Linked DNA regions of Yarrowia lipolytica. The protein of the gene in region 2 purifies or fractionates together with the protein of the main gene of each other region. This does not show direct contact. Links are inferred from orthologs where the notes say so. Each region holds a gene or a part of one and is shown on either strand. Other genes may lie near its edges. The genes, in order: YALI1_F13373g, YALI1_F09230g and YALI1_E16493g.

Evidence for each region.
Region 1: the proteins of YALI1_F09230g (region 2) and YALI1_F13373g purify together in Saccharomyces cerevisiae (affinity purification with mass spectrometry; 3 studies listed by BioGRID). This does not show direct contact. The link is inferred for Yarrowia lipolytica from reciprocal best matches to the Saccharomyces cerevisiae genes RPS12 and RPS31.
Region 3: the proteins of YALI1_F09230g (region 2) and YALI1_E16493g purify together in Saccharomyces cerevisiae (affinity purification with mass spectrometry; 3 studies listed by BioGRID). This does not show direct contact. The link is inferred for Yarrowia lipolytica from reciprocal best matches to the Saccharomyces cerevisiae genes RPS12 and SIS1.

The regions. Positions count from the first base shown.
Region 1 is NC_090775.1:1,335,294-1,338,306, forward strand, and holds YALI1_F13373g (ubiquitin-40S ribosomal protein S31 fusion protein), read left to right. Parts: upstream 1-2,060; coding exon 2,061-2,513; downstream 2,514-3,013. Other genes in the region: YALI1_F13355g (uncharacterized protein), read right to left, coding at 1-300, 438-614; YALI1_F13366g (mitochondrial 37S ribosomal protein mS37), read right to left, coding at 1,223-1,312, 1,391-1,570; YALI1_F13384g (uncharacterized protein), read right to left, coding at 2,698-3,013.
Region 2 is NC_090775.1:921,327-924,295, forward strand, and holds YALI1_F09230g (40S ribosomal protein eS12), read left to right. Parts: upstream 1-1,756; coding exon 1,757-1,759; intron 1,760-1,971; coding exon 1,972-2,397; downstream 2,398-2,969. UniProt on the Saccharomyces cerevisiae protein: Component of the ribosome, a large ribonucleoprotein complex responsible for the synthesis of proteins in the cell.
Region 3 is NC_090774.1:1,647,683-1,651,220, forward strand, and holds YALI1_E16493g (uncharacterized protein), read right to left. Parts: upstream 1,663-3,538; coding exon 556-1,662; downstream 1-555. Other genes in the region: YALI1_E16501g (uncharacterized protein), read left to right, coding at 2,404-3,420; YALI1_E16531g (uncharacterized protein), read right to left, coding at 3,486-3,538. UniProt on the Saccharomyces cerevisiae protein: Required for nuclear migration during mitosis. It is required for the normal initiation of translation. Might mediate the dissociation of a specific protein complex of the translation machinery. Essential for viability.

The DNA.
Region 1 (3,013 bases), about 410 kb from region 2:
TCCCCGCCAAAAAAACACCGGCATCATCCCAACCCGCGCCAAACCGCAACAAGGAACACAACCACAAGTGGCCGGATCAGTTGAGGGCAGTACAGCACGGGTCCATGTATCGTGACAACGCGCTGACCGAAGGGAAAGTTGGTTTGTGTCCAGCGGCTGCTCCACATCACGTGCAGCCCATGACGTAAGAGGCGCATGTCTCTTTAGCCGCTCGTACAGGCCCCTGCTCGGTTCTCCCAAACGCACAGGTGACCATGTGGGCACAATTTTCCGAGCGCTGATGACGTCGTTGTGCGTGAGCTGCGAGAGGGCAGCAGGAGATATCAACAGCAGAAGATATCAACAGCAGGAGATATCAATAGCAGGAGATATCAATAGCAGGAGAGGGAATGAGCGGCAGAAGGGGATGAAGGGAAAGTGCAGTACGAGTACAATACAATACTATTGTTGATGTTGATGTGCTCTTGGGTGCTAGACGTATTCACGTCGCTATGGTCTGACAATTGATGGTAAAGTACCGACCCTTGATGGTACAGTATTGTACGAGTACTAGTACAGTACAGAACTGACAATTGATGGTGCCGTATCCACTGTACAGTACCGTACCTTGTCATACTTGCTTATGCTACACCTACGGTACAGCTTCTGATGTAGAACACAACTGTGTGAATATCCATACTGTAGAGAAGGGATCGACTGGTTCTATAGTTCCTATACATTGGTAGCCCTGCAGCATCGTAGTGCAACTGAAAACCTTTGACTTATCACAGGGACCTGGACACTGGAACCTCGTGCTGGAACTGAGCAGATGGTACTTCGGCGCATTAGAGTGGTCTAGAGTGGTCTACAGAAGCATACGAAGAAGCGTCAACAGTCTACAGCGAATCGAATTACATGCACCGTCTCAACAGTATCGCCATAATGGGTGGTCGCAAAGTGTCTACAGTCTGGAGATATGAGATGGACCTTTATGATACATTGTACTAATCGAGAGAGTTCTTCTACAACTTCTGGTTACTCTGGTTAACTCAAGTAATTGCAGAACTACAATACCCAGAGGCGTCAACATATCAAACAGACCATTGGAAACCCTACACCTCCATCACCTCTCCCTACACATCCCACCTCCGATCTTCAACCATTACCAATTCCGTCTCGCTCCCAGTATCGTAAATCACAGAGAATTCATAAATATGTACATGCTGGCGATGGATGACATCGCTTATCGTCGGTTCTTTCCCTGGGGAACCATCTTGGGGTAAAGTCGCTTGGCGTGGAAGTTGATACTGTCCTGCTGCTTGACGGGTTTAACCTGAGTTAGAATTGCAAAACGAAATTAAACCGACCCTGTCGCCTCAATCATCTCCAACCCTTCTCCTCTCATACTCACACTCTTGCAGGCAGCCATCTTGAACTCCTGTTCAATCTCCTTGCAGGCCTCGGAGTTGACACCGTTGGATGACCAGCACGCCAAAAGTCGAGACAGAAGCTGCACGGCCTGGGGGGCCTCGGCGGTCTGCAGGTTCTTGACACGCAGATACTTGAGCTTGGGCAACTTCTGGGCGGTCATTTTTCGAGACTTTGTGTATGGTGATGTTGCAGTGAAATTTTACTGCATGTTGGAGATGCTGGTGGTTAGGGTTATTAGTCAGCAAAAAATGGAAGGAATCTGGAAATATACGATACGGCGGATAAACGGGGTCTATGGAGCATTGTCAGTTACGGCTATAGCTAGATTACCGACGTTTTTTTTTCTTCGGTTTCCCCCCCCCCCACCTCATTTCGCCACGTGACCATAAATCAAATAAGGTTTTATTATAGCGGTCCGGGTAACTTCCTATTTGAGAAGTCCCACTCAACTTGCATGGAAATAAATTTACACGGCAGCTCTTCCTTTTCTTCTTCTTCAGACACTTCGGCTAGAAAGACGGTGAGTAATAACGACACACCACACGGTGGCGAACGCAGCGAACGCAGTGGAGCGATGCAAAAGCTGAAGAGCAGGACCTCAAGGAGCAACCACTAACAACAGCACAGTTTTCTTTGCAGACGACACCGAAATGCAGATTTTTGTCAAGACCCTTACCGGTAAGACTATCACCCTCGAGGTGGAGTCTTCCGACACCATCGACAACGTCAAGTCCAAGATCCAGGACAAGGAGGGAATTCCCCCGGACCAGCAGCGACTTATCTTCGCCGGTAAGCAGCTCGAGGACGGCCGAACCCTTTCTGACTACAACATCCAGAAGGAGTCCACTCTCCATCTCGTCCTGCGACTTCGAGGTGGTGGTAAGAAGCGAAAGAAGAAGGTCTACACCACCCCCAAGAAGATCAAGCACAAGCGAAAGAAGAACAAGCTTGCTGTCCTCAACCTCTACAAGGTTGACGATGACGGAAAGGTTGAGCGACTTCGACGAGAGTGTGAGTCTGAGTCCTGCGGTGCCGGTGTCTTCATGGCTGACATGAAGGACCGACAGTACTGCGGCCGATGCCACCTCACCCTCAAGGCCTAAATGTATTGATTTAGTTTAGTATATTTATCTCTTGAACAAAAATCAACGCTGTAGATTGTTTAAAAATTTTCTAAGTAGAGCTGAACACCGCAGCGTCTGTTTCACGAGCGAGATACCGCTCAGTCTGTAGTTGTGTACCCGTACTTCATTCGGTCTACATCTTCGTTGCAATAAATAAAACCCATCATTGACGCTGGGTGATTCCGCTCATGCCCTGTTCCAACATGGGTCTCAACATCTGGCCAAAGGGAGTGGCGAGCACGTTTTGGCTGAGCGACGAAATGTCGACCGGGATGTCTTTGCCGGTCAGAAACTGCGACAGCTCCTGTGTGAAGTGGTTGCAGTTGTGGTCAAACAAGTTGTACTTGTCGGGGGTGTATTCGCCCCGAATCTCGTTGAGGTACTCCTGAATCAGCTCCTCAGGCACATGGGTCTCTCCCAGATCCACCACCTTGTCTGGAATGCCATGGTGGGTCTTTCCGGGTTGAGCGGACTGGATT
Region 2 (2,969 bases):
AACACACAAAAAGAATAAATGTGATCCCAATTTTCAATACCTTCAACTGCTTAAACCCGTTATGCTCGCTAGAATGTCTCCACTGTGGAGATTGTAGATCTTGCTCACACAGGAGGATGATAGGCTTGAAGGCATGGAGGTTTATGAGATTAAAATGAATTAAATTAATGATATACAAGTACACATAATCTCGTAGCAGCAACATTCCTCATGTGCACAAGCAACGGCGGATCTAAGGCGATCTGTAGTCTCGTACAAGCGGTCCGTGTGTACTTGGACGGTGAATACCATAGATACAGTATGTACGTAACAGTGTCGCACCTCAAACCAATGTCTCATGTCTACTCATAGACAGACCGTAATTACTCGACAAACCCGAAAACATGTCTTACTCAACGCCGTTAAAATTTCTCGGCCAAATGGCGGGAACACCTCGTTAATCGACTAGACAAGGTCTCACCGCACATTTGTCTCGGAGCTACTTGCAGCACCACACAAGCACTGATGGAAGTTATGTGGACTTTAGGTGTTGGATTTCTCCGAGTTTTGTCCGAGACAAAGGTCAGAGACTGTTCTTTTTCGTCCCGCAGCGAACTCTTGTAGATCGACCCTGGCTGCTTCAGATACACTTTTTAACGCTCGTTTAGAGGGGCCAGTAGAATTCAATATTGGTAGACAAGGGGCGATACAAAAAGAAGTAATGGCTGCTAGTATTTCTTTTTGTCTGTTTATCCGGCTCTGTGCACTCCGAAAAAAGGGTCCCAGGCAACCAGCTGTTGCAATACACCATCGCCTGAAGTGCAGTGGTTGTATCTTCACATGTTTACACTATGTCTCATGCAACCACTTCCATATGGGGGTAGAACAACAGAGTAAAAGAGTAAAACACGCTGCGAGTGCGCCAACATGGGCCCATGTCTCAGTCTTGGGTGAGATATGTTCCTCCTGCACCTCTCTCGTGTGCAGGGTCAGCAGCAGCCTGTTTCATTTGCTGAGACTCGGTCTCAAGACGAATACGAAGTGCATAGGACGGCTTGAGGAATCAACAAAACTGCAAACAATGGGAGCAAATGGAGAAAGCGGAAGTTGGTATCATTCTCAGTGTATTTGGGCGGCTGCTTCCGTTTGTTGAAGCGACTGAGGGGCTATACACACTGTGCTGTACAAGTACCTGTACACACCGGTGCAGTATGTACTTGCACTTGGTGTAGCAGCTATGGGGTGTGTCAATTGGTAGCACGAAAAATAAATGAAAGTCACTTTACATTCCCTGTCTCTCTACGGGCTACCGGAATATGTATTTTAAACGGCTGACTGAGGTCTATCTGGAGCTCCCGATATAGTTCAATCGCCTTACAAAAGGCTTGAACTGTAGGTAAATGTTCGACTGTTGGGGTTGTTCAGAACACAGTTTTTGCACGGACATGATCAGGAAGTTTAAGAGCACGTGTGGACGCGGATCTAGGGTGGATTTTTGAATAAATATATTTTTATCGAGACAGTCACATTATTTCATGCCCGGAAATACGGTGAATCTGTGTAGTGTGTTCCAGATAATAATTTAATACTACGACACCACGAATCGAACCCACGACACCCAAAACTGCAGCCGTCCCAAATCGTCACCAGGTCACATGATACTTCCCAATCGGGAAAACAGTCACACATGCGTTCACCCAAATAATGAAACTTTTCGACGTTATAACTCTCCAACAAGACTGAACAGTTCAGAAATTGTGAGGAAGTCCATTTAAAAATGGTGAGTATGACAGAGGGAATCACGAGGCCATCTTGGTGAGGATGTCGAGCGATCCAAATGGAGAAACTATGGGATTTGTCTCATTTATTTGCAAGGAAAAATGAAGCAAATCATTGACATAATCTCTCGAGGTCGCTCAAAAAGCATCCAAATCGTTATCCGAACGAAGTCGAAACAAACGACAATCACTCGCTGCCATCATTCTAACCCAGTCTGATTCTGAAGTTATCGCTGAAGTTGAGGTTGCCGCCGCTGCTCCCTCCGGAGGACTTACCCTCGAGGATGCCCTCAAGACCGTCCTGAAGAAGGCTGTCATTAACGACGGTCTCGTCCGAGGTCTGCGAGAGTGCTCTAAGGCCCTTTCTCGACGAGAGGCCGAGCTCTGTGTCCTGTGTGACTCTGTCACCGACGAGTCTTACCTCAAGCTCGTTGAGGCTCTTTGCAACGAGCCCGAGGAGAAGATCCCCCTTGTCAAGGTCCCCGATGCCAAGCAGCTCGGTGAGTGGGCTGGTCTCTGCCAGCTCGACCGAGAGGGTAACGCCCGAAAGGTCGTCGGTGCTTCTTGTGTCGTCATCACCAACTGGGGTGAGGACTCCGAGGCTCGACAGTTCCTCCTCGACTCCATTGCTTCTCAGTAAATGCGTTGCAATCAAAAGCGTAAGCAATAAAATGCCACATGGCTTATTTAATATCTGAGAGATTGTAGACATGTAAGAGTAGCGAGTGATTGGAGATGTGTAATGGCAGTAAGAAAAGTTTTGCATGGCTGTATGTATCGCACATGTCATACAGTACCACAACCATGAGATCTGCTGTGGCACTGATGAATGACGGTCTCAGGATCGGGGAAGACATACATCAACACAGTTGTGTATCAAGGATGTTGTTAATTGCAATGTAGGACTTCTGCGGCACATCGTATTCGCCGAAGAACCTCCTGTACAAGTAGCTAGGGAGACACATACTCTGAAAGCCGTGCACATTCGGGACCCTCTCGGTCAGTGAGACTCGCTGATGACAGTTCAACCAGGGTCATGATCTATGGAACTCTTATCTGCTTCCTATATACTGTAGATGGCCATAGCCTTACACAGCCCTCTACCCGACGATATCTAGCTGTGATAGTGCTTCCTTCTGACACTTCTAACGAGACAAGTGGTGATAAATGTTATACAATTGAGTCTCACGGACGCCACACTGATTATTGATG
Region 3 (3,538 bases), on a different chromosome or scaffold from region 2:
AGATTCGCTGAACTCGACAGATTCGTTCAACTCGACAGATTCTAGAATGTTCCAGAACCCACATCCAGAACCCACATGCCTCGTACAAGACGATAATCCCTCTGAACACTTGACGGGCCGTCGACGTGATTGTACATGTACATGAAAAATGCCCTCCAAACGTCACCGCTTATCTGCCCACGTCGATTGCACATTTAGTTTGCTAATTATGCTAAAAAGCCTTCAAAATGTCGTCGACAGCACAATACCAACTTCTTCAGCAGAGCCGTCAGAAGCCCCAAATGAAGGCGCTCAGAAGTCCCATCAGCTCAATTGGACGTTAAAAGACATTCTACATGTTTTCCTACCCTCCAAACCTCCCCCTGATCCCTATAAACACCTCCATGTCCTCTTTACACCCGCCAAACCTCACCAACTAAATCATCCTTAGAGTTGCACTAAGGCTGCAGTAATGAGTTGTTCATGCACACGTACAATTGTCTCCATGATCATGCTATCATTTATTAATTCTTACATGTGAATGCTCTTGCACTCTATGTACAATAAGTTAGTCTATTAAAAGTTGTCCTCAATGGCCTTTCGCTGGGCGTCGGTCAACGAGCTGGGGAAGTCCACCTTGATGGTGATGATCAACTGACCACGCTCACCAGGCTTCTTGGAAATGGGCATACCATAGTTGGGGTAGGTGATAATGTGGCCGGGGTTGATGGGCAGACGCTGCTCAATCTTGAGCTTCTTGCCCTCCAGGGTCTCAATGATCTTGGTGAATCCACACAGAGCCTCCTTGAGAGACAGCTTGATGGACATTTTGAGATCATCACCGTCTCGAGTAAACACGGGGTTGGGCTTCTGCTCAATGACAAACACCACATCCTGCTGGCCACCGTTGGGCTGAGAGTCTCCCTCGCCAGCAAAGGTGAGCTTGGTGCCTGCCTTCCAGCCGGGCTTGATGTTGACGGTCAGCACCTTCTCTTCGGGCTGGCCACTGGGGCCCTTTCGGGTGATCTTCATTTTCTTGGTGGCACCGGTGCACAGGTCCTCCAAAGACACGGGCATCTTGACTGTCACCTGTGTTCGCTCGGGCGATCGGGCCCTCTGGCGCGGCATGCCTCCCATACCGCCCATGCCGCCACCCATGCCTCCTGCACGGCGGCCAGCACGTCCGCCAAAGAGGTTGGCGAATCCTCCGTAGTCGTCTCCCTCATCGTCGAATCCGCCCTGCTGTCCGAATGAGTTGAAGATGTTGAAGGCGTCGCCAGACGAGAAACCACCGAAGCCACCCGGACCACCGCCACCAGAAGAGAAGTGGAAAGTCTGAGGGCCACCACCGCCTCCTCCACTAGAGAAGCCACCTCCGGGGAAACCTCCGGCGCCGCCGGGAAACCCGCCTCCGCCCGGAAACCCGCCTCCTTGGCCGGGTTCGGGCATGGGAACTCCTCCTTTTCGAGCAGCCTCTAGACCATACTGGTCGTAGAGCTCTCGCTTCTCCTTGTCTGACAGAATGTCGTACGCCTCGGAAATCTGCTTGAACTTCTCCTCATTTCCTCCGGGCTTGTCAGGATGGTACTTGAGAGCAGCCTTTCGGTACGCCTTTTTGATGTCCGCCTCGCTGGCGCCAGAAGACACCCCGAGGTCGTCGTAGAGCTTTGTTTCTTTCACCATAGTATCGCTTGTGAAAATGTATGGGTGTAGTAACCTATGTCGTGCGTTACAAGAGCCCGCAAAAAAAGTGCTGACCACCCGCCTTAAGTATTGCTCAGAGCCTATTCGCACTCGACTCTTCTGGAGCCTTCGAGATTGGTTGTGAACCTTCCAGCGTCTTCGCCGCGATAAGGTTGGCAATTGGGACCACGACAGAGCTAAATTCCAAGGCGGCAGTTTGGCTGTGAGTGTGATATATATATACTTAGCGCAATAGAATAGCTACAGAAAAAAGAGGGAAAAGTCACGTGACAGACAGGATGTCGGAGCGCGCGCACGTAGAGAGAAATTCTTACCAATTGAGCGTTCCCCTCGCCACCCATACCTCCTCCTCTCGGTGTTAAAGTGTACGTAGCGTAGCTACTGTACTTGCAGGCGTGTGTGTCAGGCAGGGCAATATTAATACATGAACCGCGCAAGGCCAAAAAAAAAAGACGAAAAAAATCCACGGAAAAACCCGCAAACTCAGCCAATGGATCGCTCTGGCCGCTAAACAGACCCAATTTTCCTCAATTGACGATCTCAAATGAGTACCTTCGAATTTCCATATTTTTTATCAGGGTTAGGGTAGTCCTGATTTGGCTGATTTCTGGGGGGGGGGGAAGAGAGAGGTCCACCTCACGTGACCATAGCTTAATCTCGCCGCTCCCAATATGCCGTTTAGTCCGTGATATCTCGAGCAGCACGAAACAGGTTGAATCCATGGGTTCGGAAACAAATCAAGCATCCGCGCAGCCTCAGCAGCCACCGGCGCAGCCCCAGGGCCAGGTCCAACCCCAGCAGCAGGCCGCGGCAGCCGAGTCGGACATGTCTGTGATTTTGTGCTCGTCGAGTTACGATAACACCATCAAGTTCTGGGAGGCATTGAGTGGAATCTGCTCGCGAACCATCCAGCATCCTGATTCGCAGGTCAACAGACTGGCAATCACGCCAGACAAGAGGTATCTGGCAGCAGCAGGAGGCAACACAGTGCGGCTGTACGACATTCGAAGTAACAACCCCAAGGCGGTCATGACCTTTGAGGGACACACAGGCAACGTGACGGCATTGGCATTCCAGTACGATGGCAAATGGATGGTCACTTCGTCGGAAGATGGAACAGTCAAGGTCTGGGATATGCGGACCGCCACAGTCCAGAGAAACTACAAGCATAGATGCCCCGTTAACGATGTGGTGATCCACCCCAACCAAGGAGAAATCATCTCGTGCGACCAGGAGGGAAACATTCGAATCTGGGACCTCGGCGAAAACACATGCACTCACCAACTGATCCCCGAAGAAGACGTGCCTGTACGATCAGTGTCTGTGGCGTCGGATGGATCAATGTTGGTGGCCGGAAATAACAAGGGCAACTGCTACGTGTGGAAAATGCACAACACCCGCGACGTGACTTCTCTGCATCCCATTACCAAATTCAGATCTCACTCAAAGTATATCACCAAGGTGCTGCTATCTCCAGACGTCAAGCACCTGGCCACCTGCTCCGCAGATAACACGGCCCGAATCTGGTCCATCAAAAATGGATTCTCGTTGGAAACTACTCTCACAGGACACCAGCGATGGGTGTGGGATTGCGCATTCAGTGCTGACTCGGCATACCTTGTCACCGCAAGCTCAGACCATTACGTGCGGCTGTGGGAATTGGCATCTGGGCAAATCATCAGACAATACAGTGGCCACCACAAGGGCGCACTTTCGGTCGCCCTCAATGATGTTTAGTCTACTAACCAGCTTATGTATTTTATTATATATCTATGTATATCTTTCATCTTCATGTGCTTTAATCACACAGTAACAGGAGGAGAAGACATGGGGCGGTACCAAAACTCCAGTTTGC